Linked DNA regions of Lonchura striata. The protein of the gene in region 3 interacts with the protein of the main gene of each other region in a pairwise test. Links are inferred from orthologs where the notes say so. Each region holds a gene or a part of one and is shown on either strand. Other genes may lie near its edges. The genes, in order: INHA, KHDRBS3, SIAH1 and UPP2.

What was found.
Region 1: the proteins of SIAH1 (region 3) and INHA interact in binary tests that used the Homo sapiens proteins (3 or more experiments, as listed by UniProt). The two-hybrid records come from large-scale screens. The link is inferred for Lonchura striata from reciprocal best matches to the Homo sapiens genes SIAH1 and INHA.
Region 2: the proteins of SIAH1 (region 3) and KHDRBS3 interact in a two-hybrid assay, tested with the Homo sapiens proteins (3 studies listed by BioGRID and IntAct). The link is inferred for Lonchura striata from reciprocal best matches to the Homo sapiens genes SIAH1 and KHDRBS3.
Region 4: the proteins of SIAH1 (region 3) and UPP2 interact in binary tests that used the Homo sapiens proteins (3 or more experiments, as listed by UniProt). The two-hybrid records come from large-scale screens. The link is inferred for Lonchura striata from reciprocal best matches to the Homo sapiens genes SIAH1 and UPP2.

What each region holds. Positions count from the first base shown.
Region 1 is NC_134610.1:16,236,014-16,242,940, reverse strand, and holds INHA (inhibin alpha chain), read right to left. Parts: upstream 2,638-6,927; 5' UTR 2,501-2,637; coding exon 2,134-2,500; intron 1,259-2,133; coding exon 525-1,258; downstream 1-524. Other genes in the region: OBSL1 (obscurin-like protein 1), read left to right, coding at 5,163-6,201. UniProt on the Homo sapiens protein: Inhibins and activins inhibit and activate, respectively, the secretion of follitropin by the pituitary gland.
Region 2 is NC_134603.1:7,546,260-7,553,706, forward strand, and holds the start of KHDRBS3 (KH domain-containing, RNA-binding, signal transduction-associated protein 3), read right to left. Parts: upstream 3,037-7,447; 5' UTR 2,629-3,036; coding exon 2,541-2,628; intron 1-2,540. UniProt on the Homo sapiens protein: RNA-binding protein that plays a role in the regulation of alternative splicing and influences mRNA splice site selection and exon inclusion. Binds preferentially to the 5'-[AU]UAAA-3' motif in vitro.
Region 3 is NC_134615.1:10,448,250-10,455,293, forward strand, and holds the start of SIAH1 (E3 ubiquitin-protein ligase SIAH1), read right to left. Parts: upstream 3,037-7,044; 5' UTR 2,984-3,036; coding exon 2,893-2,983; intron 1-2,892. UniProt on the Homo sapiens protein: E3 ubiquitin-protein ligase that mediates ubiquitination and subsequent proteasomal degradation of target proteins.
Region 4 is NC_134610.1:678,986-686,790, forward strand, and holds the start of UPP2 (uridine phosphorylase 2), read right to left. Parts: upstream 3,035-7,805; 5' UTR 2,931-3,034; coding exon 2,905-2,930; intron 2,359-2,904; coding exon 2,196-2,358; intron 1,160-2,195; coding exon 1,001-1,159; intron 1-1,000. UniProt on the Homo sapiens protein: Catalyzes the reversible phosphorylytic cleavage of uridine to uracil and ribose-1-phosphate which can then be utilized as carbon and energy sources or in the rescue of pyrimidine bases for nucleotide synthesis.

The DNA.
Region 1 (6,927 bases), on a different chromosome or scaffold from region 3:
TTTAGAAAAGGGAACAAGTTTATTTCACTCATCCCATTTAGCTTTCCAACAAGCCATGCTGCTGGGAGAGGGCTCACTTGTGGTGCCACGTGTGCTGCCAGCCCTGCCACCAGTGTGAGGTCCTGGCATGGGCTCACCCAGGCACATCCTGATCCTGCTGCAACAGCCTGGCCCTGCCTGGAGCACAGGGGAAGCTGTTGAACTCTGCAGCAGGAGGAAGACACCAATCTTTGTGGGGGTGCAGAACTGCAGCAGGGAAGCAGGTGAAGAGAGATGAGGGCTAATCTGGTTGCAGGCAGCAGCCTGGCTTTGACAGGACAGTGATGCCTTTGCCGTAGGTTGTGCCTATCCATGCCCCGCCATGCCCTGATTTGCTCTGTGATGGTACCAGGGCCAGCCCAAAAGTCTGGCTTGTGCGAGGGAGGGTGGTACAGCCAAACTCCCCCATCCCAGCGGCCAGGGTTCCACTGGGAAAGCAACTCCTCCTGCGTGGGATCATGGTCCGGGCTGGGCTGCAGGACGCCCTAGACACAGGTGCAGTCCTGGGCCAGGATGTTGGGCACCGTCTCATACTTGAAGGAGTACCCGCCGTCGGAGGTGGTGCGGACGCGCAGGGAGCGCATGGTGCCGGGCAGGGCAGCGCAGCAGAGCTGCACGCCCAGCCGGTGGCTCAGCCCGTGGCCTGCAGCGCAGCTCCCGTGGCAGTAGTGGAAAACAAAGCTGCTGGGATGCACGATCCACTTGTCCCAGCCCAGCTCCTCGAAGGAGATGTTGAGGGAAGCCCGGCGACAGTTGGTGTGGGCAGCCAGCTCCTCAGATGGACGCTGCAGCAGGCTCAGGGCGGCCGGGGACCAGGGCATGGCAGAGCGACGAGCCCTCTCGCTGCCCTTGGCCCGGGTGGTGGCCACCAGGAAGGGCATCTTGTCCCCCTCAGGCAGGCAGGGGCAGCCAGGGCAGCGCACCAGGAGCACAAAGAGCGGCTGCCAGAGCTGGGGCAGCAGCACTGGGGCCAAGTGAAACACTGTCCAGTGCTCGGGTGTCCGCTCCGCCATGGCTGTCACCGGCACCCGGCCCTGAGGGGACAGGGTCAGCACCTCAGGGAAGGAGTGGTTGGGGGCAGCCGAGGGGCCCGTGTAAAACCAGAGCTGGGCAGAAGTCACCACACGGCTCAGGGTGTGTGCCGAGGGCTGGAAGAGGTAGGTGAAAATCCCTTCTTCCTCCAGCAGCTTGTCTGGCTGTGTGGGCTCACAGGGAACGTCTGTGGGGGGGAAAAGATGATCAGGGTCTGCACCCAGACCTGGGGAGAATCCCCAATGCCAAATCACAAGTGGGATGTTGCAGAGGTCCCTGGAATGCTGGCAGGGCTCCTGGCTGCTGGCATAGGCTGTGGCTGGGTGCAGAGGAGCCGGTGCTGTGCAGCAGCTTCTGTGCTGTGCCCCACAACTGATCTCTGCTATGCTCTAGGCTGGTCCATTACTGTCACCCCTGTCCCCCAGTATCCTCCCCCATAGCTGGTTGTCTTGCCCCTTTCCCCCAGAGACCACATCATGCCCTGTCCCCCAGCATTCACCTCATAGCTGGTAATCCTGTCCTTTTCCCCCACCTCTGCACCCTGACCATCTCCCTGCATCCTGGCCCATCTCCCAGTCCTGTCCCATAGTTGGTCATCCTGCCCCCTTTTCCCCAGCATGTGCATCCTATCCCATCCCCCAGCATTCTGCCCCATCTCCTGCTGTTATTGCTGGTCATCCTGCCGCATGCTTCAGCATCCTGCCCTGTCCCTTAGCATCCCAACCCACCTTCCAGTATCCTGCCCCATTCCCTAGCATCCCACCCTATTCCACCCTGCTCCTCATCCCTCTCCATGTCTCCACATCCTGCCTGGCCAGCTGTTTCCTAGCCTCTCAGCACCCTCTTGTGCTGCCTGTCCCTCTGCTGTCTGTCCTGAACTGTTCTGCTTGTCCATGCCTGCCATACCTTTCCATCTGGCTCTCCACCAAATCTCACTCATGCCCATGTCCCAGCCTGGCATACCTTCTTCCCCTTCTCCCACCACATCAGCCTCGCCATCCTTCAGCGTCTGCATTACTCCAACCCCCACCCTGCTTCACCCTTTCATCAGGATGTTCTCACCTGTGGCAGGGAATAAGATCACCTGGGAGGTGTCCTCCAGCTCCTCCGGCTCCACTTCAGTGTTTTCAAGAACGTCTCTCCGGTGTACCCTCCTTGCTTCCATCTGTGGCTCCTCCTGGAGAAGGGGGGGACTCAGATGTTCCAGCACCCGAGCCCGCACCTTGGCCAGGATGAGCTGCCGGTCGGCACCCGTCCCGGTGCAGCTGGCCAGGGCGGCGGTGGGCAGCATGGCAGGCAGCAGGTGCAGCAGCAGCAGCATGGCCGTGGGGCACACGGTGGGGTGCTGGCCTGGGGGGCTCTGCCGCGGGCTTCTGCCTGCCTGCCCAGCCCGTCTGCCCGCAGCGCTCCCCCCGGGACAGGGTGGCATTGAGATCTAGCTGACACTGACGCAAACGTCTGCTCGCCGTGAATATTATCTCTGAGCTGTGAAAGCGCTGAGACGTCTGGAATGCAAGGACTGCAAGGACAGTGTGGTCTGGGGGGCCGGCCCCCGGCCAGGGGGTGTGTGTGGGGGCTGCTGCCGGGAGCGGTGCGTGCGTGGGGCTGGGGAGGCCGGGCTGCGGGCAGGGTGGTGCCGGCAGCCGAAGCTGGCAGGGATGGAGGGGGTGCTGGGTGAGCTTTGCAGCTGCTGATGCGAGGTGCCTCCCATGGCGGAGGAGTGGAAGGTCTAGGGCTTCTGGGGAGCTAGTGGGAAGTGACAGCAGTTGTGCACGGCAGGGAAATCTGGGCAAGGACCTGGTGGGGATCAGAGGCCTGTGAGGCTCTGGCATGGGGGAGGCGCTTTGCAGGTGGCAGTCGCCAGGGCAGCCAAAAATGTGAGGATGGGGCCTTGGAAAGGGCAAGCTGAGGGACAGGGTGGTTGTGGCATCTCCATGACAGTCCATGACATCTCCATGACATGATTAGCAAGATCCTGGGGACATGAAGCAAGAGGGACGGCAAAAGGTCCTTGCTCTACCTGAGGCTGCAGAAGGCTGGAGAGGGGAGAAAAACAGATGAGACCTTCAAGGGGAGAAGAACAAATGAGAGGGGTGGGCCAGCTGGAGACCCTGCAGCAGGTCCAGGAGAAGGATCCTAGGGTGCTGTTTGGGCTGTCTAGCCATGGCTTGGCTCACAGGGTGGGAGTTGCAGGAGAGACATTGGCTGTAAGGAGACCCAGTCCCCTTCCTCTCACCACTGCCTGAGGGGACAGTGCCTATCCACTAACGCTGCATGTGCTGTGGATGGTGGGCAGCCTGTGCATCCCCTCTGTGCCTCTGGCAGCTCAGTGTCCTGCCCATCCCATCCAATATAGCCTGGCATTTCATGCAGCATCCAATGCAACACATCCCCCCATGCAGCATGTCCCGTGTGACACGTCCTATCTCACTGCAGTCTGGTGTCCAGCTCAGTGTACAGCACACCATGCACCCTGCACCCCATGCCACGCTCTCCACAGGGCACGTTGTCTCTCGCTGCTGGCTGAGCCGGCGCAGAGGCACAGCCGGGCCTGCAGCACCCCTGCAGCTCTCTGGGGTGGCTCCTGCTGGGCTGCTATACATAGGTAGGCCAGCCCAGCCTCGGTGAGGCGCTGAACGGAGCAGGCTCACTCTTATCAACCCCGCGTGTCATCAGAGGGTATTTTTGGGGACAGCAGCTGCAGGCATTTGTAACATTTGGTCCCTGCGCACTGACACCCAGAAGGGGAGCTGGGGGAAGAAGCAGGAGCTGGGTGCCGACACTGAGAGACACAGGGGAGAGGTGGCAGAACGAGGTACATGTGTGGGGCAGGGGTCTGGGCTGGGGGACTGCCTGGGGCAGGGAGGGTGGTTGGGGAAGGGAGTGGTTGAAGGGTGCAATGGTGCAGCCGAGCCATCAGAGCTGTCCGTTTGTGTCCAAAGGAGCTGCTGTGGGGTGGCCCAGGGGTCAGGGGCGTGTGGATGGAGAGATGAATCTGAATAGATTCACTGTCCCAGGGGTAGGGCTGTGGGAGGAGAAACTGGCCACAATCCCTGTCGCTCCTTGGGGACCAGCTCTCTCCTACCCTCTGGCTCATTCAAGAAGTATTTTTGTTTCCCCTCCCCCTGCCTGAGCAAGTCAGAGACGACCCTGCCCCAGTCCCAGCCATGGTGTGGGCAGAGGGTGGGTGCACTCAGCGGGGAGAGGCACACAGCACCCTGCCCTGCTCCTGCCCTGGTGGTGGGCACGGTTACCCACAAAGCTGGGGATGGAGACAGTGCCCTTCCATAGCAGGACCCACCTCCCTGGCTTTCAGCTTTCCCCTGGGGTTGATGATTTCCAGCTATGGTTTTGAGTGCACAAGGGCTGGATCCCGCCTGTGGGACTACTCTCTAGAACGGGGACCCCTTCCCCAGAGCCCCACTTCGCCCCAGGGCACTTTGCCCTGTGGGGTGGCCGCCCGGCACAGGGGGTCCCCTGCCCACCCAAGTCCGGGAGGAAGTCCCAGCCCGGGTCCAGCCGGGGCCTCGCGCCCGTGACAGCCCCGTGTCAGCACCTGCCCGCTGAGCCGGCCCAGATGCTGCAGGAATGCGGCTCTGCCACCACCCGATACTGCAGGAATGTGAATGCCCGGCGGGTGGGGAAGGGGCGGGCGGGGGCCCTTTTGCCTTCGCTGTCCCCCAGCCCCAGCACCCAGCAAGCAGCTGCCTATGCTCCCTGTCTAGGCCGGGGTCCCCCACCGCTGGAACTGGAGTCCCCTCTGCAACCCTGGGAAAGGGTGCAAGTGTCTCAGGCCCCCGGGGTGCAAAGAGCCACAATTTGTCACGTCTCCTATTGCCTTGGGCTGGGAAATGGATGGTTTGGGTGACACTGGGACAAATCCAGTGGGACTGCGCTGCTCTGGATGACAATGATGCTCAGGAGGTCCATGATGGGGATTTTGTGGGTCCCTCCTAGCTGGGGGCTCCACACTGGTCCATCTCTTCGATGGAGCCTGAGCCTCCACTGTAGTCTGTCTGTACATCCCCCCAGGCTGATGATCCCTGCTGCTGCTCCAGCCAGCTGTCTGCCGTGAGCCTGGGGAGTTGGTGATGGAGGGGTTCGGGGGAGCCCCCAGGTTCCTGGCCTATCCACGTGCCTTCACGGTCCAAAGTGGCACCAATGCAGTCCTGAGCTGCCAGATCATGGGTGATCCCCAGCCAAGCATCCTCTGGGAAAAGGACAAGAATACCATCGAGCCCTCGGGCCGTTTCCATATGGAGTCCAAAGGGGACCTGTACAGCCTGCTGGTGTCCTGTGCCACCCCCGAGGACAGCGGACTCTACGTCTGTAGGGCCAAGAATAGTGTTGGCGAGACTTACGCTGCCACCGTGCTCAGGGTAGAGCCAGCAGAGCCGCGAGAGGGGGAGGGATGCTCAGGCAGTGTCGCACCTGCCTTCCTCATTGCCCCCTCGTCCATGCGGGTGTGCCGGGGGGAGGATGTGATGTTCACCTGCAGGGTGTCTGGGCAGCCCTGCCCTGTGCTGGAGTGGGAGAAGGATGGGCACAAGCTCTCCGAACTCTTTGAGAGCAGCCACTTTGCAGTGGGGCAGAAACCAGAGGACTGGCACTTCCTGAAGCTGTTCGGTGCCCGGCCCCAGGATGGGGGTGTGTATGTCTGCCGGGCACGCAGCGGCTCCCAGGAGGCCCTGGCTGCCGCCGTGCTCCTGGTTGAACCCCAGGCACTGTTGGATGGGCTCCCCAATGGCTCCCCTGCCCACGGCCCCGAGGTACTGGCGGAGCGGCAGCGGTGGCGGCGGCACGCAGCGGGACGGCGCATGGCACCGGAGACCTGGGTGCCCAATGGCGTCGTGCCGGCCAGGGTGCCAGGGGCCAAGGCATTTGCTGTGAGCGCAGGGAAGCATGCCAAGTTTCGCTGTTATGTTACTGGCAAGCCCAAGCCAGAGATTATCTGGCAGAAAGATGGTGAACCTCTCGCCCCTGGCCGCAGGCATCTCATCTACGAGGACCGGGAGGGCTACTTCATCCTCAAGGTGCTGTACTGCAAACCTCAGGACCAGGGGCTATACATGTGCACTGCTTCCAACACTGCTGGCCAGACTCTCAGTGCAGTGCAGCTGCAGGTGAAAGGTAGGAACACGTCCAAGAAGTGTCAGAGGTGGCCAGGCTCTGGGGGGCTCAGGGAAGTTTGTCTGGCAGGGGTGTGTCTGTGTGAGAGCCCAGCATCATGGGGCTCCTTCCTGCCCTGTGCAGCCAGGGTCACCCCAGGCTCCTCAGGACAGAGCTGTGAGCTGGAAACAGGGGATGCTGGGCTTCTTCAGGAGCTGTGTCCTGCTCCGTGTCTCGCTTTCCTTGCAAACAGAGGTGTGGCTTCTCGGATGACTGCAGGTGTCCAGCCACAAACAGGGAAGAGGGACAGTGCCTTGGTGACAAATTTCCCTGGAAGTGCTGAGTGATTCTGGCAGCCAGCCCTGCAGGGCACGGCTCCAACAGTCTGCACTGGCAGCTGCCCAATTCCCCCCCGAGCCATCCAGCCAGCTGGGGACAGCCCATGGCTGGGGTTACCCAGGAACTGGTGCAGCCCCTGCCTACACCCCACTGCTCCCCTCCACTGAGATGCCTGCTGCAGTATGCTGGCTTCCATGCCCCTGCATCCCCCAAAACTCCTGCTGAGATACTGGAGGCATCCCTGTGTCTCCCCAGGCTGTGCCCTGGTCCTCCCTGCTCTGGGATATGTGCTTGTCAAGGCAGTGTCTGTCTCATGGAAGCCAAAGGAGAGGGCAAAGGAGGGACAAGAGTTTGCTGCTCTTTGTGAGCTGGGATCACCTTGAGCAAAGGGCTGACAGTGGATGCTGT
Region 2 (7,447 bases), on a different chromosome or scaffold from region 3:
ACATTATTCTTTTTTAACTGAAATGTTAGCCAGGAACTTGAAGCAGGTCAAGCTCCACTTTTTATATTTAAAATTATGTAATTTGTGTGTATACAAATTAAAATGTGTAATTACAAGCATAATATGCAAATTCATCCACTTCCATTTGAAAACTATAATTACCACATTTTAGAAGTCTAGATCCAGGATTTTCCCTAGAAACCAAACTTTAACACGACTGGAAATTTGTTAGCAATTTGGCTCCTCTGTCTAAGCAGTAAACATATCTGAATTACTTCACCATCTCAAAAGTATTCTACTTCATCCATACAACTCTTACAAATTACTCCTGAGTTTCTGAAGAACGCCAGCTGATGTACAGTATTTCAGTTTAAATAAATACAGATAGCAAATTTAATGCCACTAAGACACCAAAATGCTATTACATAATTAAGCTGGTTATTTAAAGCACTTAAAACCTTTGCTAAGACATTCTCTGATACCCAAAAGAAACCAAGCTTGGAACCCTGCTTCATTCTAAACTTAAAAGATAAACAAATCCATCTATAAAAAAATTAGATAAGCTCTTTCATTTGCCTCCACATGAACTAACATAGAAAATATTCAATGGACCTGGCACACAAAAGCCGAGCCACAACCATTACATACACATTTCCACTAATAATTGCCATTCATTTAAGTGCATAGAATTATTATCATTGAGAAAAAAACAGTCCCTGATAAAGTCAATGCCATGGCAGGATGGGTTTGTAAAACATCCCCTCCTGATATCATATTTTCCACCTGTATTATACAGGCACTTCATTTGATCAGGCTCTTTGGCAATTCTACAATTAAACTATTTTACATAGATATTATACAAATTTCCATTTTAAACTGGAGTTAACCAGTTGATTAGTCACCCTCAATCTTTCTTTTCCTCACCTCTAACATGTGAAACACTTCAGATATAATCCAAGACTTCACTTTCAAATTAAACAAAAGAAAAATCAAGACACCTACTAGATTACAAGGTTGGATGCTCATACATCTACATTTTTACACTAACAATATAAGGTTTTTTTTTTTCCTGGAGCTGAATGTATGCATGCAGATACCATGATGAAAGGCAAAAGTTTCAGTCCTCCACTTTATCATTTCAATGAGAAACTAAAAAAATATCATAAACTCAGTCAAAAGGACAGATTTACTTTCTTTAACACTGTTTACAAAACAGTAAATCACATGGTTCTGTAACTCCCTGGAATAATTTACACATGCAAAAAGATTCTTCACTAGCTGGAGAGGAACTTTAATAATTTGTAGCCATCAAGCATAATTTTTACAAGTTTTTTTTAATTTACAGCAAATAACTGTTTTTTTTAACATAATTCTCCTTTTCCCACAATCAACAGGGAGTTTAGAAAAAAATGCAAAATACCAACCACCCATGGACATGGACCTTCAATTCACTTAGCACATGCATTCCACAGTTAAAACTGTAACAGCTACCCCTAACTCCAGAGTATTTCAGAGAACAGTAATTCTCCTTATGAATCTGAGACAGGCATTTGCACTTATAACACATCATAATCTACAACACGTTAGAGGAACCCACATCAACTTAAACTTGCTCCTGTTATAGGATGTAAAGTACACCAAGCACGGCTTTGTAATCATTGCAATTGAAGCCAAAAATCATTTCGGCTTCCAATGTGTTAGAGGATCACTTCATAGCTTATTTCACTTGTGCATCCTAAGCACTAGATCAAGCATTTGTCTCTCCAGAGCTGTACTTGAAAGTCACCTGCCAATTATATACTATCTCTAAATGTACATTAAATCATAGTTTAATTCACACAGAATGACTCTTCTAGTCAGTACTGCATCACTGAAACAAAAAGGAAGCACTTTAAAGCACATCTGACTTGACAGATGCAGAAGGGGTGGGAGTAATTTATTATCTGGAGTTATATAATTGCAAAACAAAATATGCCTTGTATTTTTATAAAGGTTTACTAACATGGATTGTTGGTTCCGTAATATCTTAGCCACAGAGCCCAAAGTTTCTAGGAAAGGCCATCGGTAGTGGGCTCGTTCTTAAGAAAGCTCACACATATGTAAACAATCGGCTGCTCATTGTTCACAAGCAGGGTAAAATAGGAAAACCGTCCGGGGTTTTAATTGACATGCAGCCCGAGCAGAGCACAGCGGACACGGCCATTCAGCTCGGAATAATCTCTAACTCGAGCAGCGAGCGACGGCAGAGGAAGCGCGGATGGAAGAGGGGCAGCGCGGGCAGGCACCCGGCGTGCGCGGCTGCCCGGCAGGGGAAGGGGAAGGCGCCGGGAGCCGGCAAACAGCGGCAGCCTGAACGCAACAAACCCCCCCAAGCGGTGCAAGGCACGGGTGAACCCCGCACCGAGAACGTCCCCGGGAGCCCGGGCACAACAAACCGCTCCGAGCGCCGCAATAAGGAAGGGCGAGCCCCGGCTGAGCACCGCCGCTCACCCCGGCCCGTCCCCGCCGCGAGAAAGGCGCCCCGCTCCGGCGCCCCTCACCTTGGTTGACCAGCCGCAAGGCGTGGGTGAAGGACGGGTCCAGCGAGTCCTTCTCCGCCATCAGCTCGGGCAGGTACTTCTCGTCCATGGCAGCGGCCCGGAGCGGCAGCGGAGCCGGGGCGCCGGGTGCGCCCGCGGGGAAGGAGCGGGTCCGAGTCCCAGGCAGCGGTAAATCCTCGGAGGCAGCGCTTCCCCCTGGCCGCCTCCCGCCCGGGGCTGCGGGGACGCATCCAGAAGGAAGCGCCGCAAGCCCCCGGCCAGGAGCGGGGAGAAAAGCGGCGCGGGCTGGGGGCGCCCCCCCTCAGCGGGCAAGGGGCGCGGACAAATCACTGCGGAAGCGCACAAGGAGATAAAACGGGAAGAGACGCGCCCCGGGAGCCGCTGACCCAGGCAAGACGGGGGCCGCGCGCGCAATAAAAGAGACTGTTAGGCGGCGGCTGGGGCTGCGCACACACCCACAAGACAAACAACACCGCCGGCGACGCCGAGCCCACTGAGAGCGGAAAGCGCGCCGCACCAGGTTTATATACCGCCCCAGACCACGCCCCCGGCCGCCTTAGCCCCGCCCAGGGGCGGTGCCCCGCCCCAGCGCCTGCCAATGGGCGGGGATAGCAGAGCCCCCCAAGTGTCACCGCCTCGCTCAAGTGAAGGCTCCTATTGGATGGCAGGGCCTGTCAGTCAGGGCCGAGGCGCTGCTGCTCATTGGTCGCTGCTGCTGGCCCCGCCTCCCCGCGGTCGGTGAGAGGCCGGCGCTGAGGGACGCGCTCAGAGCGGCTCCGCGCCGGGAGCCGGGCGGGAGCTGGGCGGAGTGGCTTTTGTACCCGTACCTGGAGCAGCGGGACTCAGAGCCCCTGAGATCCCACAGCGACCCTTCCGACGCAAGAGTCGCCTTCGGGGCCCTCTCCGGGGCCGTAGGATCTGTGAGAAGGGTCGGGGATCCAGGGCGGCGTCCTTTCCGTCCCCGTCAGATCTTACGGGGGAAGGCAGACCTTGTGTTGAAAGTAGCGCAAACGTGATTTTATTTTTCCCTTTCACAAACAGCGGTCTCCTCTATCCAGCATTCTATGCTTTTGCCTCTAGCAAAAACATAGACTGTCTCTATACAAACCACTTTATAAATACCAGTCAAAAAACCCTAATTCTGATGAGTTTCCCAGATCTGTGGCTGTAAATGGGTTTGAGATTCACCCTGTTCTAAAAGAGGAAAGAGAAGCAAAGTTTAAAAGACCTTGCTCAAGCCCATTTTCCTGTTTTTTTCAGAGGATGCATTTGTTATAGAAGGTCATGATTCGCTCTGTTCTTTAGCTTTGAGGCTTTACATCGCCTCCTTATTAGTCCTTAGGTGTCTCGTCAATGAATCTTGGTGACAAAAGCCCGGAGGAAGCCAGACCAGCTCTTCTCTGTCACAGAGCACAAGGGCAAAGCAGAGGAAAGAAGCCAAACCCATAAAGTAACATTTTAAATCAATGTTTACTGGATAAGCCAATAAGGAACTTTGATGATCTAAACTTAAAAGACCACTAAAAGTACTCATATCTGTGAATTGAATAACCATACATTTACTTCTGTATTTAATAAAAAAATAAAAGAAAAATCTGCAATATATCTTACTCATAGTCTTGCAATACAGGGAGGAAGAAAGCTCTGAAAAGATAAACCAGCATGAGAAATGCTCACTCAAAGCTCAGAAGCAGAGGTTAAGGCTCCCTTCTCAGAACTGCAAGTGCTCTTTCACCCTGAAAACCAAAAGACTATATTTTAAGGTATCTTATTCCTTGTTGGATTTCACAGATTTCAATACCCCATGAAACAATGTCTGGTATGTTGCAACATGAAACATAGTTGATTTATACTCTCTGTAAAACCATTTCAAATAAATCTTGATCCAAAATGAACAGAAGCATATTTGCAAAGTTCTATTTAAAAATTCTTTTGCATGACATCAAGCTCAATAAATAAAACTAAAGCATTCAAGCAGCTGGAAGAATTTGAATTAAAATGAATGTTTTTTTCAACCTTCCATATACGTCTTCTATATAAAAGTACTGAAATGCAACCATCTGTTGTGAAACAGGAAGGCATATACAACTCTTGACACAAAACAATATGTAGGAGTGTAATCTTTATTGAGTGACCTGGAGCAAAAAAATCTCTTTTTTTGCCACTTAAGCCTAAATGTACTTAAAGTCATACTAAAGCATGCAGGACCTCAGACAGAAAGGTAGTTATGTTATTACAATTTGTGTAAAACACAATGCACCTTTCTTGGAAGGAGTCGCCTTCTCCCTGGTAACTGATTAAATAAACATTTGATGTTTCAAGAAACCACAGTATTTCTTTCCATATTATACCAATTCCCTCTGGCTTTCTACAAAGAAAGACTTACTGGAAGTTTGAAGACTTGGTTTTCTCCAGGTCTGTAATAATATAGGAATTATAAAATTATCCATGTTGTAGCCTATTGTTCAAACTCAAACCTGTACATAACAAATGCAGGACATTGGTTTTTTTCAGTGAAATTTTCTAGGGCGCAATAAAATAAGACAAGGGCAGAAAGGATGGGAAATTACGAGCCTTGGGCCCTAGAAAGCAGCCCAGGATGTGGTTAGCTGGGAAAAGCCTGCTAAGCATCACTTTTACTATCCAGGAAATGCAGGAAACACCATCATCTTAAGGATTGATTGCTTTCTTATTGCTGAAATCTATGCAGAGCTTGAAAAGCAGCCTTGCTCAAGGAGCTGCCTGCTAAGTATTAGCTGTAGGATTCATGAATATTGAAAAGCCAGGAGTCCAAACTTTTAAAACTCATGACTTAAATGTATTTTCTCTCTAACAGTACACATCTACTTTGCTGTTTAATGCATGTGGTAATCTCAGAAAGTTAGTTTGATAGGTGCACATCAGTCAGTAACCATGTCAGACTAATCCATTGCTCCTTTTTAAGCACCAGTTACCTGACAGTGTGTCTCTCTATCTATAAGTTAAAATTGTAAGTGCCAAAATTAATACTCATATATGCTAGAAGCATTAGGATGTGTTGGTAACTTCACTCTCAGGAATGAGATTCACCTCTTGTACTAACAGGATGTGAGGGGACCATGTGTAAAGAGGCAGAAACTGAGCTGTGTTCTCTCTCTAAAATATGTATTGTGTACAAATTAATCCACTTAAATTTTCTTTATTTGTTGGATCAATATAACAAGCAGTGATTACAAGCAGTAATTTCACTATTATGTCTTTGTTCCAAATATTGCAAGTACAACTAAATATTTGTCTTCCATGGAATCATTGAATGCTTTGGTTTGGAAAGCAAGTACAACTAAATATTTGTCTTTTCCATGGAGTCCTTGAATGCTTTGGGTTGGAAAGGTCATCTAGTCCAACTCTGCTCCTGCAATGCGTAGGGACATCTTCAACTAGATCAGGTTGCTCGGAGCCCCATCAAAACTGACCTTGAATGTTTTCAGGGATGGGGCATCTGTGACCTCTCTGGGCAGCCTGGTCTAGTGTTTCACCACACTCATTGTAAAGAATTTCTTTATATATGGTCTGAGTCTACCTTCTACTTAAAAAAATCATTGTCCCTTGTCCTACCACAGCAGCTCCTGCTAAAATGTTTGTTCCAATCTTTCCTATAAGCCCCCTTTAAGTACCAAAATGCTATAAGGTTTCCCCAGAGCCATCTCCTCTGCAGGCTGAACTGTCCCAACTCAGCCCATCTTTACAGGGAAGGTGTTCCAGACCTCTGACCATCTTTGTGGCCTCCTCTGGACCTGCTGCCATAGATGCCTATCCTTGCTGTCCTGCGGACCCCAGAGCTGGATGCAGCACTGCAGGTGGGGTCTCATGAGAGCAGAGCAAGGAGCAGAATCACCTCTCTCACTGTGCTGCTTGGCTTGTGGAATATGAGCACACCACGGTCAGTGGCAGCTTGGTGTGATCATTGAATAGATGGAACACTTGTCACAGGAGAAAAAACAGAGGGGGCAGTAATTTAGGCAAAAACACCTAATCAAGTGGAGCCTGTTGCAGCACCCTCACTCAGATACTGAAGGCACTGCACCCACAGGCTGTCACCCTGCTGGGATTATTTCCAATTCTGTGGTAGAATTTACATGCCTCTAATATAGTCCTTGATTCTGATTAACTCCTGGGTTCCTCATTTAAATCTCAGACCACAACAGACTGTTACAGAATCATTATTTATTTGAGACTTCAACTCATTGAAGACCTATAGAAGCAGGATCTGTTTGGAGAAATGATTTGTCACAAATACCACATTTAGTGATAGATGTGACTCACCACAATTCTAACTAGCATGTTGCTAAGTGGGTTCTGGCTTCCTTAATATTGCAGTGTGTTACTTGCCAATTTCTATTAGGCGTGATGAAAGTATCACACTTCTCCAATATTCCTGTGGGTTTTTTTCTTTTTTTTTTTTTTTTTTTTTTAACTTGCATGTGTTTTAAAATATGATAAAATAAATAAGAGTGTACTGTCATATCAAAACATCCATGGCAAATTGTTTTCAAAAGATTTTCTGTAAAAATTCACCTCTTTCTCTTTTATACCTTTTGCCTCATAGTTCAAACTTTAGGCTTTATTGGACCTAATCAATGTAATCAGCCAAGTTAAGGTAGAACACAGTACACAGACTGTATATGACCTATAGTGCAAAACCATTACATCATCTACAGCAGATAAATTCTATCATTCTACTTTACTTTCTTTCTAGTTCTTAAAGGCTAACACACTGTATCAGAACACTCTCTCTGATTCCTAGTGCAGTAATTGAGTCAATACATTGCAGTGACTTCACTACCTTTGTCATTATATTCAAGTATGCATGATCTGAAGGATTTTTTCTTTCCTGTGGGTATTTTGCTAATGGCAGCTGTAGCAGTGGA
Region 3 (7,044 bases):
AAGTAAGATACAAATGAAAGCAAAATCCCCCCAATGTAATACAAACTGCGTATGTGCTATGTGTAGATCGATACAGACACTCCCGTGACATGGAAACTTAACAAGTGAAGGACTTCTGCTCATTGTTCGGAAGAGGCATTTAGCTACTGGAAGCTGCAAGACAGGGGAGTAAAAACATGCTAAAAATTTAATACTGCATTTATGAAATGCTTCACACCCAGATCACTTGTGTGTACCAACTCTGTGTATGGAACAATTCTAAGCTGCCGTGTAAGAGAAACAAGGCTTTAATGAAAAAAACTATCTTCTGGATGTGACCTTCTCAGTACTCATACTTACAGTGTAATTTTTTAAGAAGTTGAAAAACACAGCTCAGACAATTACTACTCTGCTTTTTTGCAGGATAGGACAGTGACTCTTCATTTTCACTACTCTACTATTGAGGCCCATGGCTTGTAAAGCACAGCCACTGCTTCAGCTTCCTTAACAAAACCATTTGTGACGATACCAGAAAAAAAAACCCACAGCAATTACTTTATTTAATTTCCCAACTAAGACTAAAAATTCGAACTTCACTTGTTAAATTTGAGTATTCATTTTACCATGTAAATACTCAGACATTTTCAGTCCCTCTTGATGAAGTTCTATATTCAGTGGAGCTCCCACTGAAGTTCTGTCCTCTCTAATGTCCCCCGACAAAGGTGACAGCTGTCTGACCTAACAGCTTACTCGAACATTCCACAGATGTGGAACAAGTACTGACCACATTTTGTAACACATTGTGTTTTCCTGCACTCCTAACTCTCCTCCTTCTTGTACAAAAGACATTACTAGCGCTATCTGAAAAAATAAACCATACCTTTGTAGGTAAAGGGCAGTTAAATAAAATGCTATCCAAAATTGGCTTCTGTTATAGAGTACAATTCTCAGCCACACTAAGTGCCTCTCTGCGAGTACAACCAGCTCTGGATCTGTCACGTACGTATAAAGCTCTCAAAATAAACCTCATCTTTAATCTCCTTGCTATTTGACATGGGAATATTAGGCAATAGGCAAGCTTCCCATATTTAGCATCATTTCACCACAAACTTACTCATACTTGGACCAGACAGCTCAGAGCAACATACTGTGCATGCTTTTGCAAGACATGCACTGTTCAAAAACACCAAGCAGAAGAACTAAGAGATTCCTACTTGCAAAATGACTTAAGTCCTTGACATTTAGAAAGTAACGAGAGACAGACAAGTCCAAATTACTCTACAGAAGTACCTCTCCCCAGAGCTAGAAAAGTATGAGTGTCTAAGATATGATTCTCAGACACTGATTTTATGAGTCTCATGTGTCCCATTGACAGCATCTTCCTAACCCACCAAATTCTCTTCCTCCATCTCAGTCTTGGTGGTTTAGAAGTACCTTGAGAAAAACACCCATGCAGCAGTTTTCAGTGCTGGGCCATAACTGATCCTGTAGAGCTATGACAAGAATGCTTGTGTCTTTTGGCTGTATCTTCCCACTGTGAGGCATTCCAACTTAGATGAGAAGTTCAGGGTGTCTGTGACAAATCAAGCATGTGTCCTGGAGAAGTGATGCTGCACCAGGGAGGGGACTCTGCCAGCTGTACTGCTCTATGTCCCAGCAGCTGCAGGTCTGTGCTCCAGAACAAACCACTGGGCACAAGAGAACCAATGCTGATCACACCTGTTCGCTTGGGAGGAGCTTAGAAACAACATATTCACATGTAAAATTCTGGAAGTGTTTCCCTTCAAATACTGCAAACACACACATTTCAGAAAAGTCTGTGCTGTGCTTCCTCTTGCCTGACCCTGTAGATCCTGATCCAGGGATCCTCCATAACCTGCAGATAAGGCAGGTGAAAACCACTGTGTCAGACCAGTTCCCTGGGCAGCCTGACAAGCTGGGTGAGCTCTGCCGTCTTTAATTACACCTCGCTGAGCCCATGCAACAGTTAAATGAAGCAACCTACAAACTTTGCAAAAGAGCTTGTGCACGGATGCACTTCCCACTTGAGCTTTCTAAGGTATGGAAGAGAACAGAACTATGTTACCACTGCTCCTGTGTGAGCAGCCTTCACACACCTTCCACAACACTCACAGGAGCAGGGAATGGAAAGGAACAGGGAATGGAAGGAGCAGCAACTGGGAACAAGGAGCAATCTCTGAACCAGCCCACTGAGATCAGCATGCAGGAAAGACACTGCATAAGGCTACAAACTGTAATTCACCAAGCCTAAACCTGCCCAAAGCCTACATTTTCATCACTCTTGTTAACACAAAGATGAATAATACATCTTTTATGGCTATCTCAAAAGTTACAAGTTAATCACAAGCAAAAGTTTTAACAGTGTAATACATTTAACCCACCAAACCATGAAAATCATACAATTACAAACCAAGGAAAAACAGCTACAGAACTGGAGATAAAGTTTAAAGACATTTTTAGTTACAAACCCCTTACTACAGGTAAAAACACTTATATGCAATATTTGCTATTTCATTATCTTTATTTGCACACATTAGGAACAAGTTTCTAAGCAACAGTGACAAACTAAGGAACAGTAAGGTGTCATTTTCAAGAGTATTAGCTCCTTTAACTCCAATTACCAAAAACACTGTGCATATTAAAAAAAAAAAGAAAAATTACCCAACAGTAAGAGTGAAAAGGGGAGAACACATCTTAAGATTTCCTAGCTCTAAATCAAGCAAAGCAGCTCTTGGTAACATCTAGAAGGCACCTGTTGCTAAAAGGACTCTCGACACTGTTCTGGGAAAGGCGACATGCACAGGTTACCGACACCTCCCGCGGAACACAATTTAACAGCTCCTGCAAGCCCGGCTTCAAATACTGCGCATAAGGCAATTTAAAGGGCGCTACCTTTCCCCTTGCAGGTTTTACTCCCCGGCAAGCACGCAGACCAGACGCCCTTCCAGGAGTACGGCCCGCTGGAGGCAGATCTGCCCGTCATGGGGCGCGGAGGAGCTCATGGCGTGTCCGCGCAGCACGGGCGGGCTGGGGCCGCGGGCCGGGCGGCGACCGCGCCGAACGCCCCCGCGACGGCCGCGGGGCCCCGCGCCGCGCCCGGATCCGCCGCCCCGGCCGGTGCCGCCGCCCCCGTGCGCGGCCGCGCTCCGGCCCCGCGCCCCAAAATGGTTCCCCGAGCTTCCCCCGGCGCGGCCGGCGCGGGACGGCCCCGCCCCGCCCCGCCCCGCCCGCCACCGCCTCCGGGGGAGGACGCGCCTCGGCCCCGCCCGCGGCCCCGGGAGCCGGCCCCGGGAGCCGCCCGCCCCACGCGGCCCCGCCCCGCACGGCCCCGGGAGCCGGACCGCCCCACACGGCCCCGCCCCACACGGCCCCGGGAGCCGGCCCCGCCCCACACGGCCCCGCCCCACACGGCCCCGGGAGCCGGCCCCGCCCCACACGGCCCCGCCCCACACGGCCCCGGGAGCCGGCCCCGCCCCACACGGCCCCGCCCCACACGGCCCCGGGAGCCGGCCCGCCCCACACGGCCCCGCCCCACACGGCCCCGGGAGCGGCCCCGCCCGCCCCACGGCTCCCCAGGGCCGCCCGCCCGCGGCCCGGCCGTGCCTCACACGTGCGCACGGAGAAAGCCCTCTGCTTCCCCCGAAATAACTCCCCGGCAAAAGCTACAGCTTCCGTTCAAAACTCTTCTAACACATGAAAATCACTTCCTCCTATTTCAAGGATATTCCTCAGATGAGCACTTTTCACTGTGGATCTATAAATTCCTATTCAACAGGAATTTTCTCCATCTGTATAAGTATTGCTCAATGAAGCAAAAGCATAATCTCAAGGAGAAGAGATAACCAACAGAACTAAAACAATGTGGCATATTTGATTATCTACTTGGAGTATTAAAAAAAATTAGAACAGGTAAAAGGATAAAGTTAGAAGCCAAGTCAACACACTTGCGTGAAGCACATGCTTTGCTCAGAAAAGCTTAGACATTATGGAACGCTGATGTAATGATGGTAAGATCATGGAAGTATAAGTTGCAGTGGAGGCAACAGAACAAAACACACTGAGATAAACTGTTGTCACATAAAAAGCAAGGCTATGAAATCTGAGTAAAGATAATTATCTTTAAAGTGCTTTCCTCCTATTTCAAATCCAAGTCCTTTTCAAGAAGACTTGTATCAGCACTGTAATACCTGCAAATAATGCCCAACTGCTATAAAAACAATCTACCCACTCAATACAAGGCTTCCTTCAGTCTCGCCCGAAAACCTGCAATCTACAGCATCCCACCAGGTAAGAGTCAAGGAAGTTTACAAGCAGAACAGAGAAGCTGAATAAAAACTGCATAAAAACAGCTTTTGAGAAGCTAATAGCGCGTTGTGAGGTGCGCGAAACGTGTCCCAGGCTGCCCCCCGTGTGGTCCCCAGAGCCACCCTCCGGCCCCTGGCCACGGTACAGCTGCTGCTGCCCGTGTGCTTTGCTGGCTGCGCAGTGCCCCGGGGACAAAGCCTTTGGGACCCGGACACAGAACCGAAATCCTGTACGAAAAGCAAGGCACAACCAAACCACTGGTTAAAAAGCTCTGCTGGGGCGCAGGCACACAGAAAGTAGTTTGAAGACATTGAAAAAGATTGTGTGCCTCACGTGCCTGGGCATTATTAATGGCAAATAGACTGATACTCTTCCAGCTTCTCACCTTACCAAGGTGTTAGCTCCAGACCCATTCTAAAAATCACATTTGTGCTTCACTGGAATACAAGGTACCTCTGACAAATTCAACTTAGCATCATCCACTTCTCTCATATCAAAAAGCACATCTTCTTTCATATCCTCACCCATATCAAATAGATTAGACTTGAATTTAGCATTTTAGCTAGCTTTTGAAAGGGTAACTGAATATTAGTTTGAGGAAAAAAAATACACAAAAGCTCTCTATAGTCATCTTAATGGTTGGAAGGGAAAAAGTCCCATATAAGAGTAATAAACACAAAAAATTTATCACAATTGTCTGTATGTGATGCAACAACATATATTTTTCTATAACATTTAAAAACCGAGTTCAGGAACTTCCATTTAAAATGCACTCTTAATTCATTATAGCCACCAACAAAGTAATAGAAAATCTTTCATCTTTTTAAACAGTGTAATCATATTTGAATAAGACTTTTTCACACACAGTACTATTAAGAGAGAACAGGATGAAGTTGTGAAAAACACTGACAAGTTACTTTTTTCAAGATGTGACACAAACCAAAGAATGTTAAGACCCAAAATCTAAATGAAAGGCTGAAAATGCTCATTAAACATAATACCTATCAGAGAAAAGCTTGCCAATATTTTTTAAGAAACTAGTATTTTTATTTAATTTCAAAGATATGTTAGGGTGCAAGGTTTTGCCTTTTGCAGTCTATCAGCTCTTGGGAGATGTTAGATCCCAAGGGCCTGGCACGGTTAGGATCAAATGCAGGCCTGGACAGACATGTGCACCTCTGCTCAGACACAGCCTCTGGATCTGCTGGCCTACTTCACAATTTTTAGAACACAGTTCATGACATAAATTATTAATCAACTATATAATACAATTTAATCTCTATCCACTCTGGTTTTGACTAATGAATTAGGATTTTTTTCAATCCTTCCAGACACTCTTTTCTTTGGTGCCCTTAACTATGCTATTTGTTATTTCAAGACACCTCAGGGTTCTCTTTTCCTCCATAACAAGCAAAAGCTAGATCAATCCAATGTAACAGAATATTATAAAACAAGACCAAAATAAATATACAAAACTGAGTCAAGACTCTTGATGATTTCCTTTGCCAAAATGTCATCAGTCCAATTCATCTCTTTTTCATACACAATTAGACCATTTCCTGCTACCTTGTAGTGACCCACTCTGCCTGAAACTGCAGGCAGCTTTTTTCTTGCACCTCAAGACATTCCCTACCAACCCCATTTTCCAACCACCACGAAGGGAAATCCCAACAGATTTATATAACCATGGAATTGTCTTTGTGGCCAGCACTGCAGGGAGCCTCCAGCCCCTGACACCCCACATTTCTGATGTTCTCTCGTGTTCTCTCACGGCCCCCAATGGAGCCATGGCAGTCCCTGTCCAGACCTTCTCCAAGTTCACCACACCCCACATGGCAGATGCAGACACAAACACAGCCATGGAAACACCAACAGCATTGTTCCACCCACCAAATCAGAGTGACCTATTTCTAACTCAGCACAAAACCCAGACTTTGGTCAGGGCTGTTTGATTTCTCCCTCCTCGCCATCACTCACTATTTCTTCTGTGGAGATATGCTGGAATATTCAGCATCAGCCCAGGAGAGGTTTTTCCCTAGCTGCTAAAGATTTTCTTTCCAACAACTTTATAAGGTTAAGATTAGGAAGGAACAGTATCCTGTAGAAGACATACAATAAGCACATCAAAATCAAATCACACTAGTAACCAACTACTATTGACTGAAGTGTTCAATTTTAAATGCAACAAAGAAATTTATCAGTTCCAACAAGTGAATAACCTGTTCTCCAGTCCAACAGAGTTTCAACATCCACCTTTGCACAGAATACTGCATCCCATGCTGCTATGGTACTCCAGCCTTGGGAAGGAAGACAAGCTGAGGAACAAAGCTCTGCAAAAAAACTGATAAATCCCCCAGTTTCATTCAGAAGGAAAACTAAAAGTGTCTGATCAAGAGCCAAAACATGAGTTTGGACCACTCACTCTGTACTCTATAGGTGGAGAATATGCCAGCTTTCCCAACTTACATATAGAATTAAATTTAAAAGTAGATTTCCTTGTAAATTCAGACCCTCCTACAAATCATAAAGCAAAACAGGATGTTTATCTCTTCTGTTTTTTGAGCTTGGAAGGAAAGGAAGGAGGACAGAAAGCAAAAGCTACAGGAAATATCAAAGAAATTCCAGAAAATTTAAGCAATATTAAAAACAACTAATCAAATGCCACCGTGAACAAAGAAAATGTAGTAATATATTAAATAAATTGATATAAGCAACAAAATAAAAATTATTTATATTTGG
Region 4 (7,805 bases), on a different chromosome or scaffold from region 3:
TTATTCTGGAACATCAGCCTGGCTTATTTGCTGATGCCTAAAAAATTAATTCTCGTTGCAAATATTCAGAGCTGGAATCTGTGTTCCTGGCCCTGTATGTTTGAGCTCAGTTGTGTTTCTAAGCAACTTGCAGAAATGTGATATTGGTAGCAGCTCTGCATGATGCTTCCCAGGGCGGCCATGTGCTCTACCCCGTGTCTCCTTCTGCACTGGCCAAAGCTGGTGCACGGCCACAAGCTCAGTGATGGTTTGCCTCTGGCCATGTCACTGCTGCTGCCAGGCCGGGGAACAGCAAATCTTGTGGCAGTTCTTCCCCTTGGATCCTCTCAGACTGATTTCCTCAGGCTTGATTCCCTTGGTCAGGATTGGTTTGGTTTTTTCAGAGGGACGAAACACGAGCTCTGTTGTGTGAGTGATTCCATCTGCTGTGAATCACACTTCAGACTAGTCTTGTGCCTGAAGAAATGGAGTCAGGACCAAGATTTTGGGTGTGAATGCTCCCCAGCACAGCCTGTATTTGCTTTTTCCTGTGTTCAGTGCCAAAAATCCTGCTCTAAAAGAATAATTAATAATAAGGCCAGCCTTTTCTTTTAGAGCTTGTATCAAGGTAATACTCCCAGCAGCATTTCATAGTTCATGTGTGGTGAGAAGTGGTTTTGCCTCCCAAACCAAGCTGAGCAGAACATGTGCACGTCTGTTATTAATGCAGCCATTTCCAAACAGAGAGAGCAGGTGCTGGGGGATGCTATTCAAACAGGAGCAGCTTTGCCATGGCTAAGGTTGCACCGGTGGTAGTGGCTGAACAGTGAAAAGAGGGAAAAGCTCTGCTGGTGCGTGCTGGGGGAGGTGAGGGCACGTGAAGGAGAGGTCGTGCCAGCCCGTGCCTGTGCCGGAGCAGACGGTCCCTGCGCCGTCCGTCTGTGGGACCCTGCCAGGAGCAGCACCAGACGGCCCCGAGAGCGCGTCCCCCAGAAATGTCCCCAGCCGGCGCGGGACTCACGCTGATGGAGAGCACGGGCCCTGCCCGGTACATGGCGTAGCGGTCCGACCCCGCGCAGATGTCAGCCACGTCCTCCCCGGCACCCGCCAGCCCCAGCTCCCGCCGCATGAACTGGGCAAACGCCCTCATCCTGTTGGGGCTGCCGCCAACACAGACGAACTGCAATAAAATATCAGCGTGTTGGTACTTAGCTAGAACAAGAAACGCGAGTCAGCCTGGATGTGGCGGTGGTGGCTCTGCCAGGCACATCTTCCCAGAGAAAGGAGCAGGATGCCTCTTCCTCACCATCAGTCAAGGGACATTGGAACTCCTGAGGCTCACAAAACCAGGAGTTAACACAAAACCCACCCTGTCACTCTGGCAGGGTGGCGACTGCCCTGAGTTTGGGCAGCCATACAGCTGCACATAACTTGGGTATCAATCCATCTAAAATAATTCTGCAAATTTGAGCTGGTAGTATTGCCACTGATAGCAAAGTAAACCCAGATGTTGGAGGAGATCATTGGTTAATTTATTCTATGAACAATGCTGACTGCAATTAGTGAGTACTTCTGATGGCACAGAGGCCATAAAGTCAGGGAGTAAAAAGGACAAATTTTACATATTAAAGGAAAATATGCTTGCTGAAGGTAGGAGGAGAATAAGTGTGCACTGCCAGGGCAGTGCTGATCCTGCTGCCAGGGTGCAGGGCAGCAGGAGACCATGCTGTGCTGTGCAAGGCTGCTCCAGCCCTGGGCACTGAGGCTCTTCCCCTGCACAACTAGGGAAAGACTCTGGTTTGGAATGAAAGAGGATGCCATCATGACAAATCAGTTTTGACAGCAGGTCTCAGCCAAAAATTATATGATATTCTCCTTCCCTTATCTCCAGTAGATGATGACCAAGATGCTTTGGACAAATGCCTCCTCTGTCTATCCTCCAACATGGGGCCAATATTAAATCAGGTTTTACAGAGCTACAGGTTTTTAAAAGGATAATTTTCTGTTGTGATTTCTGCCCAAAACAAACAAGGACAGAGAACCTCCTTGCCCAGGCTGCTTTGGCTGTGGAGTCCCTTAGCTGAGCAGCCAGACCCCACCCCATGGGAGCTTTGGCAGCAGCAGGGCCCAGCATGGGCCGGTAGCACCGTGGGATGCACAGCTGGAGAGTCTGTGCAGGGGGGAGCTGCTGCCTCACTTTTGGACCTGCTCTTTACCTTTATGTCCCCAAACATTGCTGGCAGGTTGTGTGTCTTCGTTCCCAAGTCCAGGTGGTACAGGACGTCCTCCTCCATCAAGTCCAGGTGTGGGTTTCTAACAAGGACAAGCCCAGTCCTGCAGGGAGACGATGAGGATATGGGTTGGGGCACCAGGCAGTACCTGCAGGGAGGTGGACAGGCAGAAGTGGGGCACAGGGCAGCCTGGAAGCTCCACAAGGGTACACACAGCCTTGGCATTGGACAAGGGATGGAACAGGGACAACGGACAAGCCAGCTGTGTGTGGTGTTTGGACCAGCTGTCTTTCTGCTCCAGGTAACCTCTTTGACACATCTGTTATTATATCTATGTATTTGGCAAAAAATATGTCTCAGTATTTATCAATTTTGTCAATGGCTACCTTAGCTCTTTCCTTTATAAGGTTTTGCCAGCAATGTCCAGGGGTGATATACTGTGCTGTTTTCTATGTGACAATTTATTAGGCTCTTGGCAAGTCAGGATTTCACACTTGTCCCAAATAACTGCCTGGCATGGCGAGTGCAGACACTGCAGGCAGTCAGAGGCCAGCTTGCTGCCCCTTTCCACCTGCTCTAAGGGAAGCAAATAACTAACAATGCAGGTTAGTTTTATAAATGGGGCTTAAAGAAACCCAGAGAACATTTTTTCTTCTCTTATTAAAACAAATTCAGATGTTCCCCTGTTACTCACCTCGAGTAACCTGTTGTTTCGGTCATAGTGGCTCCGCCAGAGTCAGCTGAAAGCGATACCCTGCCAAAAAGGTAAGGAAAACTGCCTGTATTCTCAGCTGTCCAGGCTTAGAGCTCAGAAGAGGTTTCAAGGGGCTCTGCAGGGGGTTAAATACCTCTTGTGCTTTGTGCAGCTCCCAAGGTCAGCAGTGGGCAGTCCCACTACTGTGTGCCAAGATTCCTTAGTGGCTGGCATGGTTCCTCCCAGATTGCCTTTTTGGGCAGGTGCGTCACCAGTAACCTTGACTGGCAGCCTTAGGGCCAGGGCCAGTGGCCTGCTGGCCCTCTGGCTGGTGACATTGTGCCCTCTGGCTGGTGGGGAGGGCTCTGGGCACGTGGCTGCACATGTGGGGAGATGGTTTGTCTGAGCTGGATGTTGCTATGCTACCCCCAGGCTGTGTTTCCTCAGCGCTAGGGACTGAAGGACAGCCTGGCCATGGCTGCTGGCATGGACAGTTCTTCTGGCTGAGCCGTTCTCTGACCCCAGTAGGTGCAAATCCAAAACATCTCTGCATTTGTCTGGGGTGCACAAAACCGGAATTTGGGCTGTAGCCAACCTCCAGCCCTGCTCAGAACAGCTCCTGGACCACCAGCCTGGCCTGGGGAGGCTGATTTCACTCTCAGCAATGCCCAGACAGTGCTGTTGGCTCTCATGGTCCACCCAGCCCCATCTCAGCCCAGGAGCCCATCAGAACAGTGTGCAGTGTGTCAGGCACAGCTTTGCACAGCTCCCAGTCCAGGGCAGGCAGAGTGCTTGTGGGGCTGCAGGACAAGTGTGTGATGCTCCTGCAGGAGCAGGAGGAGATTGGAGATACTGGTCCTGCTTCCTGTCCCAACAACAGGAGGCACTGCCCTGGAAGATATTTCAGGCAGCTGCTGGAGGGGCAGAATCTGGCATTTGCTGTTGACCTCTGGGAATTGTCAATGGAAGCTCTGATAATTAGGGAAGTGATAGGTAATTAATTACTGGGTGAAAGCACATTGCGTGGAGCTCACTGGCACCCTGCATTCAAGCAGTGACGCAGTCCTGCTTTCCTAATGGGAAGGGACAGAAATTATCGTAACTGAGGAAGCCTTTCCCTGAGCAAATGCCCTTTTTGCTACCCATCCAAACACTCTAAATTGCAAAACCCTGTATAAAAATAAGCAAACACTGCAAGCCAGTGGCCTGAGAACATGTAAATTTGGTACCTTGCCCAATATAGGGTCAGGATAGCTCTGAGAAGGGGAAGGAGCAGAGCTCTCAGGGATATTTCTGGCTTTCTGGAGTCATACCAAAGGCAGGCTGGAAGGATTTCTCTGCTCTGATGAAGTTCTCCCTCCCTGGATGCTGTTCACATATGCCTGCCAAAAATGACTTATTACTGACGCTCTACAGCACTCCCAAAAAGTAAGGATCTGGAGACTTTTCTCCCTTTCAGAATGCACCAGATTTCTGTGAGGGGCACAGAAGAAGTTTCCTTGGGGCTGCACACACCTTCTGCCTGCCGAAGTCGCTTGGTGTGATTGCTGTGGTTTCAGGCGCACAGTGGATTGTGCAGTGGGCTCCATGCAGAGCTTCCAGTTGTGTCCAGTGAGAGTTACCTGATCTGGAGAAGAGAGCAAATGGTTTGCTGCTGCTTGCCAGAGGTGGCTGGAAATGCTCTGGGGAGGTGGGATCGGGCTGAGGCTTCCTGTGGATTCTCCTCCTTCTCCAGTCTTGTCTGGTGGAGGAACATGAGGCCCTGGCCCCGCACCCACCTCCAGCACAGCTGGGCAGGGCTTTCATCGGGGACCGAAGGTTCAGCAGAATGGTGGATGGATGAGTGGACAGACGGACAGACAGCTGGACACCTGAGTGTCTCTGTGGCAGGGCATGAGTGTTCCCACCTGCTGCCTGGGGTGGTAAAGGCAGTGCTTCCATGTGTCCCCTTTCTCTGCCTGCCTTCCATGGCAGAGTATTTCTGGACATACCTGGAAGGGTCCACACCTGCATGGTTCAAACCATCCCACAATAAAACAATTTTCCTAAGCACATGGATAACTTTTAAAATATTTTCTTATGAAAAATAGTGTTCCAGCACAACCTGCTGGGACATCCCTGCCTGGTGGTCAGCAAAGCCCCTGCCCTGCCCTGCTACAGCCTCTGCCCTGGTGTGCTCAGTCCCAGGCAGGGACCTCCCCTGTGCTGGCAAAAGTGGCAAGATTTTGGAGGGTGTCCCTGCTGAGTGAGCAGGGACAGAGTCCCCTGGAGCCACAGCTCTATCTGGAATGTCAGGCTGAGAATGGTGGGCAAGCAATGTTTCTGCAGTGTTTGTCCCTGCTGTGCCCAAGGTAAAAGGAACCAGTGTGTTCTGTTTAAGTAAACATGATTGCACCAAGGGAAATGGTTGGACTGTGCTTTTGGCTTCCCAGAAGTGACGTTGAAGAGAAGGGACAGCAGCCACCACCACGGCCATTCAGGTTTCAGGGCCTGTCTGGCTCAGGTCAGCTCCCTGCCTGGCCAGTATAAGCAGTCCCTCACCTTTGGTTCCTTTGTCCATGATTGTTTTTCCCATGCTTGGTCTTCTTTGGGATGGCTTTCAGTAAATCCCAAACTGAAGTGTGGCTGTTCTTTTCCTACCTCTCCTGCTTTTCATGGCAGAGGCTGCAGAATGGAATAGAATAGAATAGAATAGAATAGAATAGAATAGAATAGAATAGAATAGAATAGAATAGAATAATGGACTAGGATAGGATGAAATGCTAAAATAAAATGCTTTCAGTTGAAAGGGAGCTGCAGTGCTGATCTAGCCCAGCTACCTGCCTGTTTCTCTTCCTCAAAGGAGCGTGGGGATGGTGAGAAGCAAAGAGCACTGCCCCAAATGAGTGTTTATTTGTGCCTGATTCAGAGCTAAATCCAGCCTCTCCAAGTGCCAGGCAGTGGAGCTGTTACCATATGTGCTAGAGGATGACAAATAAAGCACGATGAAATATACGGCAGAATAACATATGGCAGTGTAGACAGGCTCTCGGCAAGGGAAGAGATGGGGAGAGCCAGCGCTCCCCGCGCCCATCCGACACCTCTTGTCATGTTAAATGCTATTTTAGAGCAGACAGCGCTGGCATCCTGTGCGCGGCAGGGAGCTCGCACCCGCCGCGCCCTGCCGGGGCTCTGCAGCCTTGCTCCCAGCGAGCCCCAACAGCTCCTTCTCCACTCGGCTGGTCTCTGCCTTCCCTCCCACCGTGCTGCTGCTGCTGCAGCTCTCCGGAGCTGCCGATGATGAGATATTCCAGCAACCTGGCGCCCAGCCCCGTCTGTGGCCGCCGGGTCGGGCTGGGCAGGCGGGGCAGGTGGTGCCCGTCGCAGGAGTGAGTTCCTCCGCCACCGCCCCGGCAGGGCATGTGAGCCTGTGCTCGGCCCCATCGCTCTGCTTCGATAGCAGAGAATGAGGAATATCACAGTCCGAGGCATGGCTGGTGCATTCCTCTAGCGATGATTGCTGGCAGTCGGCATAAGGGAGCAGCAGAAGCACCGGGAAGTGTTTTACCTGACAGGAGGAAAGCCATGTGCCAGCAGCACAACGATTTCCTGCTCTCCGTACCCGGCTTGTTCTGCGGAGCCAGGAAAGCAAAACGTGGATTTTTATCAGCTGTTTGCTCTGGCTCCGTGTTTTGCCTTGTTTATTATTGGTATAAAGCTGCTCTTGGCATTGGGACCAGACAGTAAAACACTCCCCAAAGGAACCAGGCTGCACAAACCCTCGGGGCACTAGAGTAACTGCAGCTTGTCAGGACACGTTTCCCCTGAGGGGAAGCACTACAGCAAAGCCATTTATTTCAGGCAGAAATCAGCTGCCTGACCTGTGTTGCTATTCAGGATTTATTCAGGAGCTGCTGATCTTCCAGTCCCGTGTCGCTCCACAGGAGGGGCTGAGAGTGCTGCTGCTCCGCTGCAGGAATGCTCCTTAGAGCGGACGGGCACTCTCCCGCCATTCCCTCTGCAGCCTTGCCCATGGCAGGTGGGATCCACCCTGGGAACAGGCAGGGATTTGCCCGCCGTGCCCCAGGACAGCTGGGGGGCTGTGCCCATGCTCTGGGCGCCCTGCCCTGCTGGGCTGCCCAGGAGGTGAGGACACTAGGGTGGCAGCTACGCACATCTGCCCGTCCAGGTTCAAGGAGCACCAGGCTGGCCCCACACAGGCCCCTGGTAAAGGGCTCTTCTTAGGTTTAAACCCAGTTTCTGGCTGAGGTTGGTGCTGGCTTGCTGCAAGAGCAGGGGTCCTGGCCTGGCTCTGACTGGCTCTACATGGATTGCTGCTGCCCACCTGGCCCCACATGGATACACTTCAGCAGGAAGTGTTGCTTCTGGCATCTTCTCCCAAGACTGTGCTCCTTTTGTGCCTCCAGTCAGGATGAGAAGGAAGAGGAGCAGTGGGGCAGTTTGGCAACAGAGCCCTCTCATCCGCTCTGGGGTAGGTTCCCCCTTGCCTTCCTCCATGCTGCTTTTTGTTCCCTTCCCACTGCAGGGGTGAGTGAGCTGCTCCAACTCTTCCCACCCCACAGGGATGGGTGAGCTATTGCCTGCTGGGAGTACCCACAGAGGTTTGTGTAAATGTCCAGTTTGCTGTGACAGAGCAGACTCCAAATCGGCAGTGGAACCTGCAAGGGAGCCCCTTTCTGCTTGCTCCCTTCCTGCCCAGTGCTTTTCTGATCTCCAGGCTTTGAATCCAGACGGTGCCTGGGGTTTTTTCTCCCTTCTTCTTTTATTTTTCTTACACAGGTTTTTTTTTCCTTTTGTCTTTTACTCTTTGGGCTTGTGGGTGCCTGTCGCAACTGCTGGTGCCTGTGGGTGCAGGCAGGAGGGAGGTCTGGGAGGAGATTTTGGCCACAATAAGGCAAATG